2 linked regions of the Xenopus tropicalis genome follow. Each later gene encodes a partner of the first gene's protein in a complex. Links are inferred from orthologs where the notes say so. Each region holds a gene or a part of one and is shown on either strand. Other genes may lie near its edges.

Region 1 (4,582 bases):
TAGTCGCCCCGCGACAAATCTCCATTCTCACGGGCAACTAATCTCCCCATAATGCCATCCCACCGGTTAGAATGTAAATTGCTGGTGGGATGGCATACGTGGCGCCGCAATGTCGCCCGAAGTTTCCTCTCAAGGCGCGTCTAATCTACCTGTGTGTTACTGCCCTTAAGATCAGCAATGTCCAAACGTATTTTGAAGAAACATGACGGTAACGCACATTTTACTTTTCAGATTATTGACAGGCCATCTTTTCAGATAAGGATCTAGAGAGGAGACTGTTAAGGCAAGAGGCTTTTTGGATCTATAACTTGAATTCCCTGGAGTTCCAGGGTGGGATGAATAGGGAATGGGAGTTATCCTGTTTCTATTGAGAATTGTATAAATGGGGTTAACTTTTTGATTCTCCCTCCATTATATTTGGGTCCTCCTAACTATAAGTATTTCTATTTTGCTATCCTTATTTGTACTTCTTTTATGTATATTGTGTGGTGTGTAAGGGTTCATGTAGTCTATATCAGGGGGCTCAAACTCAATTTACCTGGGGGCCGCAGGAGGCAAAGTCAGGATGAGGCTGGGCCGCATAAGGGATTTCACAAAAAATTGGCTTTCAAGGGATAATGCAAGGCACGGCGGGAGCTGCTGATTGCGGAAATGACGTTATGCCATAACAGTTATTATGGGAAGATGTTCTGTGTGCACAATTAGCTCCTTAGCAGCTGTGCACACAGAATGTCTTCCCATAATAACTGTTATGATGGCATAATGTCATTTCCGCAATCAGCAGCTCCCGCCCGCCGTGCCTTGCATTATCCCTTGAATCGCAATAAAAATCGCGATCCATTCGTTGCTTTTGAGAAGGCGTTGGTGCGGGCCACAAAATACTGTACTGAGGGCCGCGAGTTTGAGACCCCTGGTCTATATAGTCCAACTAGTCTTTTGACTAGTTGGATTATATAAGCCCCTCCCACTTACGGGCTGATAATGCTTCTGAGGCCATGAAACGCGTTAAGCGTAGCTCCATGGCTGTACATATAGGTTTTTACATATAGGATTGAATAAAAATGACTGTTTTTTAATCCAGCTCTTTTTTTTGGTGCATTTTTTCTATTTCCTGCCACTAAACATCTGTCGTGGTTTGTACAAAGCCATCCAATGACTTGGGCTCAGTAAAGCTGCGCTGCTAGCACTACAGCCTGCCGAGCGGCGGCCACATGACTAAGCAGATTGGAAGCGCTAAACTTCTCTTTCAGCTGTTGAAAGACTACAACACCCAGAATGCCTTTGGGGAGCTCTAACCACAGCAGCAGTCGCCTTTTCCATTTCTACAATAAAATAAAAAGTATCGTACTTTTCAACTACCCTTCAGCTCGCCATAGTGTAATAATGACTCAGTACGGAAAGGGAACACTCTCACCCCACAGTGTGAGGACTTGGCTAATGGGCCCGCCCTTTCATTGGCTCTACCTAATAGGACGCACCCCCTCTCCCCCACAACCCTTAGCGGCACTCCTTAGGCGCAGCAAGTCCCCTCACAACAACCAATAGGTTTCCGGGACGTACAACTAGATCCGGCAGATATCCGTGCGCAGCAGAGCCACACCTCCTCAGCCCCATTCTTCCCTCTGACACAAGCGCGCTCGAATCCCTCCGCGCCACGCTTGCTCACTCCGGCAGCCCGCCTGAGCTCTGTGACCCGGCACCGCCCGCATGGAGCTCGTCACCATCCTCGAAAAGACCGTGTCTCCGGGTACGGGCGGCTGGTTATTGGGGGTATTATTGTGTGGGATAACAGTGAGGGGAGGGGGGCAGCAGGGAAATGCATGGGGATCCCCAATAGAGCGGCAGGGCCCTGAACCCATGTCTACCCTTCTTTTCCCTCAGACCGCAATGAGTTGGAGGCGGCGCAGAAGTTCCTGGAGCAAGCTGCAGTCGAGAATCTGGTGAGAAATGATAGAAGTTGGGCTTGAGAAGGAAGCCGGGTAGGGAGGCACCATGACAGCCACACGGAGCCTTAGGTTGGCCGTGCCGGCTCTCCCACTACATTAAACGCATGCAGGAAACAGCGACACTTATAAAAAGAGTCCCACTATCAAAGTAGCCACCAAGCTGGCAGGGGGCATGCTGGGAGTTTATTTGGACTTATTAGGCCTGGGGGGTAATCGTTCTCTGATAACCCCCGCAGCACATAGGAAGCCGGGAATTGCTGGGACTGCCACTGCCAGTAGGTCGCCAGCTGTTCTGAAATGGCTAGCGCTGTGGTGCCCGGCCAGGCCTCAGTGAAAAGCGCCAAGACTGGCGCAGCCTAACTTGCCCGCCACCCTGCGCTAGCCAATGGGGAGGCGCGGAGCCATTTAGCCGGGTCTAATTCGGCCAATGAGAAAGCGAGAAGAGGGAGCGGCGAGGGGGGCGGTGGTAAAGCACGTTGCGTTGCACAGCTATGTGGGGCTAATGGGGCTCCTTGTGGCATCGCATGATGTCGCATTTGGGCTGCTCTGTGCGTGTTGTGTGATTTTCCTGTGCTGACAAATTGCATTTTTTTGCAGTCCTTGGAGAATGTACAGAACTCAGTGTAGGTGCAGTGTGACATGCCACATTCCTGTCATTGTGAGCTTCCTTGTATTGCAATAAATGTCGTTAAACCCTGCAAACTAAATGCTTGCTTCCTGTTTCAAGGTATTCTCTAAGTACCAAATGTTTTGTATTGCTTTGCCATGAAGCTGACATGTTACTGTTTTCTTCAAAACTGACCTGCGCTTAAAGGAACAGTAACACCAAAAAAATGTATATATTTTCAAGAAATTAAACTATACTGTATTGCTGCCCTGGTAAAAATTGTATGTTTGCTTCAGAAACATTACTAGAGTTTATATAAACCCTGGTGTGTAGCCATGGGGGCAGCCATTCAAAAGAAGAAAAGGCACAGGTTATATAGCAGCTAACAGATAAACTCTGTAGAATACAATGGTGTCTTATCTGTTATTTGCTATGTAACCTGTGACTTTTTTCCAGCTTGAATGGCTGCCCCCAGGGCTACTCAGCAGTGTATTTATATAAAATATAGTAGTGTTCCTGAAGCAAACACCCGAGTTTTACTAGTGCAGGGCAACAGTACGTTATATTTCAATTACTTTAAAACACTTTCATTTTTTGGTGTTACTGTTCCTTTAAGTTTTTGAAATGTTAGGAAAGGATCTCGGGAAACAAGTGGTGCCAATGGCTGCCATCTTTACTTGGCAAAGACCAGGCTGGGGGTGGGGGGCAGGGTTTAATACAGGGGTGCACAAAAGGTAGATCACGGTCTACCGGTAGACCTCAAGGTGGAATGCAGTGGGATGACATCCCGCCACTTCCCCCCCCCCCCCCCCCAGCATACTGAAGCTTTCAAGTGCGACTGCTCAAGCCGTCTTTGTAGTTTCATCCCAGTATAGAAGATTGTCCCCACTGGGCCACTGTATATATTTGTTCCCACTTCATATATGTTTCTGTGTGCAGACTACAAAGTGGGCCATAAGGAAGGGAAGTAAAAACTACTACAATCCTTTCACATTAAACTTGAAGTTGGCACGTGAATAATGTTATGTGGGCATTAAATGTGAATTTGGCACTGCATTTATATATTGCTATGTGTATTTGTTAAACATCCATTGATATTTCTGTTGCTTATTGTGCCAAATGATAGACGTTGCACTATTTTAACTGTGGTAGAGCTCATGACTGAGGCCAGGTGGGAAGAGTAGATCACAGAGTGACAAAATCTGGGCACCACTGGTTTAATAGAACCATCATGTACCTTTCCTCATGCCAGAATTCATCTCTTACCTCCATGTCACTTTGTTTTTATAATAACAATCACTTAAAGTGGCCTTGCATAGGCTAAAAAAAAAAGCTACTGACTTTTAGATCAGTTTATCCACTTAGGGCAGTGGCACACGTGGAGATTAATTGGCCAGTGTCAAATCTCCCGGCAATGCCATCCCACTGGCTAGAATGTAAATCGCCGGTGGGATGGCATATGCGTCGCTGCAGTGTCCCAAAGTTTCCTTTCAAGACAATTTCGGCCGATTTCGGGACATTGCAGAAATGCGTATTCCATCCTGCCGGCGATTTACATTCTAGCTGGTGGGATGGCATTGCGGGGGATTAGTCGCCCATAACAATGAAGATTTGTCGCGGGGCGACTAATCTCACTGTGTCCCGCTGCCCTTCTTGGTCTGTATATGGTGTCCTCAAGAGACCTACCCAAATAAAGTTTTCCCTGAAAATTGTCCAGCATGTTGATGTCTCCTTAGGTCACACAGAATGATCCAATTTCTGGTCCCTTGTTGGATCAGCCAGTTAAATGTCTGACCTGCCCAATTGGCTACGAAAAATTAGAAGTGTTGTGTATGTTAAGTGAAAAGGTAGAGATTGGACAAAAGGTAGCGCTTATATAAGTCAGTCAGATAACTGCAAAACAAGTCTGTGCTGTATGGGCAGGATTCTATTTGAATAGCAAGATACTTTGCCTCATTTGACTGATTGTGCTAATGAGTGAATCTGCAGCGGTGTCCGCTCTATTCCAACAATCATCAGATTTTCTTCT
Region 2 (4,547 bases), on another chromosome or scaffold:
GGGCAGAACAGCCCTATTGGGTTTATTTCATGGTTAAATGATTCCCTTTTCTCTGTAATAATAAAACAGTACCTGTACTTGATCCCAACTAAGATATAATTACCCCTTATTGGGGGCAGAACAGCCCTATTGGGTTTATTTCATGGTTAAATGATTCCCTTTTCTCTGTAATAATAAAACAGTACCTGTACTTGATCCCAACTAAGATATAATTACCCCTTATTGGGGGCAGAACAGCCCTATTGGGTTTATTTAATGGTTAAATGATTCCCTTTTCTCTGTAATAATAAAACAGTACCTGTACTTGATCCCAACTAAGATATAATTACCCCTTATTGGGGGCAGAACAGCCCTATTGGGTTTATTTAATGGTTAAATGATTCCCTTTTCTCTGTAATAATAAAACAGTACCTGTACTTGATCCCAACTAAGATATAATTACCCCTTATTGGGGGCAGAACAGCCCTATTGGGTTTATTTAATGGTTAAATGATTCCCTTTTCTCTGTAATAATAAAACAGTACCTGTACTTGATCCCAACTAAGATATAATTACCCCTTATTGGGGGCAGAACAGCCCTATTGGGTTTATTTAATGGTTAAATGATTCCCTTTTCTCTGTAATAATAAAACAGTACCTGTACTTGATCCCAACTAAGATATAATTACCCCTTATTGGGGGCAGAACAGCCCTATTGGGTTTATTTAATGGTTAAATGATTCCCTTTTCTCTGTAATAATAAAACAGTACCTGTACTTGATCCCAACTAAGATATAATTACCCCTTATTGGGGGCAGAACAGCCCTATTGGGTTTATTTCATGGTTAAATGATTCCCTTTTCTCTATAATAATAAAACAGTACCTGTACTTGAAGCGAGAGCATGGGGACTGGTTGCCCTTATACTGAAGAAACAGTACAGAATATTTAATTGATTACATTTAGAAAGTTTCTTATTTCATATTAAATTTGCCCTTTAAAGGGACATGATCTTTAAAAACACAAATAGGATGCTTTCACCCTTATTTACATTATATATAGGTTATGGCCACTTTTACACTTCTATATTTCTGACACAGAAGCCCAAGCTGCCCATATACAGGCCAATATAACGCCCCTCAGGACCAACTCCTTATTTTATTTTATTAACGCCTACTGCATCCCAGCAGCAGTCACAGTTTACATTCCCTGGCAGTCAAGCAGTTAATGAGGCCTGACAGCGCTGACTCAAACACAATAAATAAACCCGCTGGCATTAAGACATTGCACCCCCGGCCAAACACCAACGGACTATGCCGGAATTTGTGTGAAAGTTGTATCTGTGTTGTAGAAAGCTAGTTGGTCCTCTTGGCCTATCAGTGCAGCAGGACTAATGCCGTGCAATGTCCTATCCCCACAGGCGGAGGGCAGTATCGGAGCACCAGTATCTCCACGACAAAGGCCGGGCCATCCAAGAGCTGCGGCGCAGGATATTCCTCCAGAACCTGATGGGCCGAGTGAACACGGCGGGACTGCACGCGCCACCGGACGAGGCCTTGCTCCCCGCCACCAGCGTGAAGAACTACAACACCCTGCGCACGGTGGCAGAAGAAGAGGGGGCCACCACGCACCTGACTCAGGAGACACAGAAATCACTGAGCTACAAGGAGCCCTCTCCGAAAACCCACGGCAAGAAGAAAAAAGGCAAGCCGGGAAAGCGCAAAGACCAGGATAAGAGGAAGAGACAGGAGCGCTCAGCGCTGGAAAGTCTGCAAGACCCACCGGGATCGGCTTTTTGGTTGGAAGAATTAGATTACAGGTAATGGTGTCAACTTGGTCTTCAAGGTGGGGATATCGAGAGAAGATCCGCTCGCTTGGCGACCTCGCCAAGCGAGCGGATCTTCACGTGTATGGCCACCTTTAGATTATTCCTATCTCGGGTTGCCACCTTTGTAGAGTCAAAGTGGTCAAAAATAGAGTCTTGTCTGGATTTCACACCTATAAAATAACTTTAAAGGAGAAGTAAAGGTAAAAACCACAGGGCCGCTCCTGCCATGAAGCAAAGGAGAACCTTGGCCTTGGCAGTAGGAAGATGCCAGTTACCAGGGGCGGCAAAAAGTCACCCGAATATTTGTTATTTGGCTCCCCCCAGGGATTTTTTACTTTCCTTCTCCATTAAGGCTGCACCACCACCTTTTTACTTGCTATACAGGCATTGGTTAGGGCATTGGTTGGGACATTGGTAGGGGCATTGGTTAGGGCATTGGTTGGGGCATTGGTTGGGACGTTGGTTGGGACATTGGTTGGGGCATTGGTTGGGGCATTGGTTGGGACATTGGTTGGGGCATTGGTTAGGGCATTGGTTGGGGCATTGGTTGGGACATTGGTTGGGACATTGGTTGGGACATTGGTTGGGACATTGGTTGGGGCATTGGTTGGGACATTGGTTGGGGCATTGGTTGGGACATTGGTTGGGGCATTGGTTGGGGCATTGGCTGGGACATTGGTCGGGGCATTGGTCGGGACATTGGTCGGGGCATTGGTTGGGGCATTGGTCGGGGCATTGGTCGGGGCATTGGTCGGGGCATTGATTGGGGCATTGGTTGGGGCATTGGTCGGGGCATTGGTCGGGACATTGGTCGGGGCATTGGTTGGGGCATTGGTTAGGGCATTGGTTGGGGCATTGGTTAGGGCATTGGTTGGGGCATTGGTTGGGGCATTGGTTGGGACATTGGTTGGGGCATTGGTTGGGACATTGGTTGGGACATTGGTTGGGGCATTGGTTGGGACATTGGTTGGGGCATTGGTTGGGACATTGGTTGGGGCATTGGTTGGGACATTGGTTGGGACATTGGTTGGGGCATTGGTTGGGACATTGGTTGGGGCATTGGTTGGGGCATTGGTTGGGGATGGCCCAAGTAAATCCCTAGGAAAATCGAAGTAGACAATGGTGCAACACCCTAATGAAAAGTACCCCGTTTAGTGCCGACGCAGGCTTCCCTTGTGCTTTTGGGGGATAAAAATGACACCCAAGGCATTTTGATGTCCAACCATTAAAAATCATTCTTTGAATTCATTAGGAAAATATTTCCAAAAAGAATTTTAAAAAAATCATCCTCTGTAACTATGCTTATACCATAGCGCCACCTTGTGGTGGTAAAGAGCACAGACTCTATTTTTGGCTCAATGAAAAAAAAATACCAAATGAATTGCCCCCAGATCTATCGCCCGAGAGGGCTCGGCGGCCGCACACGTTTGGTTAAATTAATGCCTTTCTTTTCCCTTCTTTCTCTGCAGGACGCAGTGAATATTTGACTGGAGAATACTTGCATTTTGGAGAAAATCGGAAATATAAAAAAAAAAAAAAAGACGTGCGTCAGAGAATATTCTGGATCCGTACATACGAGCTGTATTTATTATCATCCACGTGCGCTGTCCCTTCCCGCCATTTGTAAAACTGCACAGTCGCATTTCGGCGGCCTCCCCCCTCCCCCCCCCCGTCTCTTATTTATTGGTTGAATTATGTATTTATTGTTTGACCCTTGTGCTGCTGCCCTCCTTTTTATAAATGTTGCACTTTACGTTCAAAAAACTCGCAGAAAATCCTTGATTTTTTTTTTTCTATTTTTTGATATTGAAACCGATATAGCATTTTGTGCATGTAGAAAAATGTGGTATAATTTGTACAGAATTGTGTAATAAATCCGGTGTAAAAAAAAAAAAAAAGAAAAGAAAAACGAAAAAAAAAAAAACCGTTATGTCTGATTTCGGACGCCCAGTGACATTCCAGTAGCCCGACGACTCCTGGTCAGCTTTGCTGTATCTGTAACCTAAACATCTGGATACAGTGGCCTCTGTCCTATAAATAAAGTTCTTTTCTCTCGGGCCCTTACATGGCTTTGTATTGTTTTGTTTTTGTGTATCTTCTTATGTTCAGGTCCGGACTGGCAATCCATGGTTTCTGGCAAATGCCAGAGGGGCTACTGCAGAATGACATAGACAGTCACTATTCAGTGGGCTGGTTGGGCAGGGCCGGAACTAGGGGTAGGTAGAAGAGGTACAACGGTGGGGGGGTGCCAGGCAGGTACCTTTTCTTCTACCTACCACCGGTTCCAGACCCTTTCCCCCCAATGTGCAGCGGCCCCGGTAACCTCTTCCTGTAGACCTGTGCCCTGTGTGCGCATTGGAGGGTGTTGGCGGCCCAAGCCAACCGGGTTGCTTAGGGCGCCTGGCCGGCTTGGCCTGGCACTGTGGTTGGGGTATATTTGGGCCTCTATGTACTTGAAATGTCAGGGAATATTTTAAAACCCAGTCCAGACCTGTGTTCATCCATGGCCAAACCTTGGTTTACCCAAACCAGAGTCAGACTGGGTCGGAAAGATCCAACCCTTGCCGGCACTCCCTCTGCCCAACCGTTCTTCTACTGACACATTAAATTTACACACGCTCAAGGTAGGACGTTGGGTGGGGGACCCTGCAGCGGGTTAGGGGGGCCCCTGCATGGGGGGATTAGGGGATGCAGCCGGCGGGGGCACCTGTAGGGCCCCCATAGCAGGAGCCACGGTGGGC

What was found.
Region 2: the proteins of kpnb1 (region 1) and pthlh are in contact, whole or in part, in a crystal structure (PDB 1M5N), measured with the Homo sapiens proteins. The link is inferred for Xenopus tropicalis from reciprocal best matches to the Homo sapiens genes KPNB1 and PTHLH. Residues at the interface, in NP_002256.2 of Homo sapiens: Val55, Tyr104, Pro106, Gln111, Glu152, Tyr156, Gln159, Asn196, Leu199, Asn200, Gln239, Glu274, Gln278, Glu281, Asp288, Ile295, Ser298, Glu299, Asp339, Asp340, Trp342, Val350, Met353, Glu395, Trp430, Arg434, Glu437, Asn469, Trp472; in NP_945316.1 of Homo sapiens: Tyr103, Thr105, Gln106, Glu107, Thr108, Asn109, Lys110, Val111, Glu112, Thr113, Tyr114, Lys120, Thr121, Pro122, Gly123, Lys124, Lys125, Lys126, Lys127, Lys129.

Annotation. Positions count from the first base shown.
Region 1 is NC_030686.2:10,834,486-10,839,067, reverse strand, and holds the start of kpnb1 (importin subunit beta-1), read left to right. Parts: upstream 1-1,517; 5' UTR 1,518-1,707; coding exon 1,708-1,747; intron 1,748-1,881; coding exon 1,882-1,940; intron 1,941-4,582.
Region 2 is NC_030679.2:10,530,061-10,534,607, reverse strand, and holds the end of pthlh (parathyroid hormone-related protein), read left to right. Parts: intron 1-1,398; coding exon 1,399-1,797; intron 1,798-3,275; coding exon 3,276-3,285; 3' UTR 3,286-3,870; downstream 3,871-4,547. UniProt on the Homo sapiens protein: Neuroendocrine peptide which is a critical regulator of cellular and organ growth, development, migration, differentiation and survival and of epithelial calcium ion transport.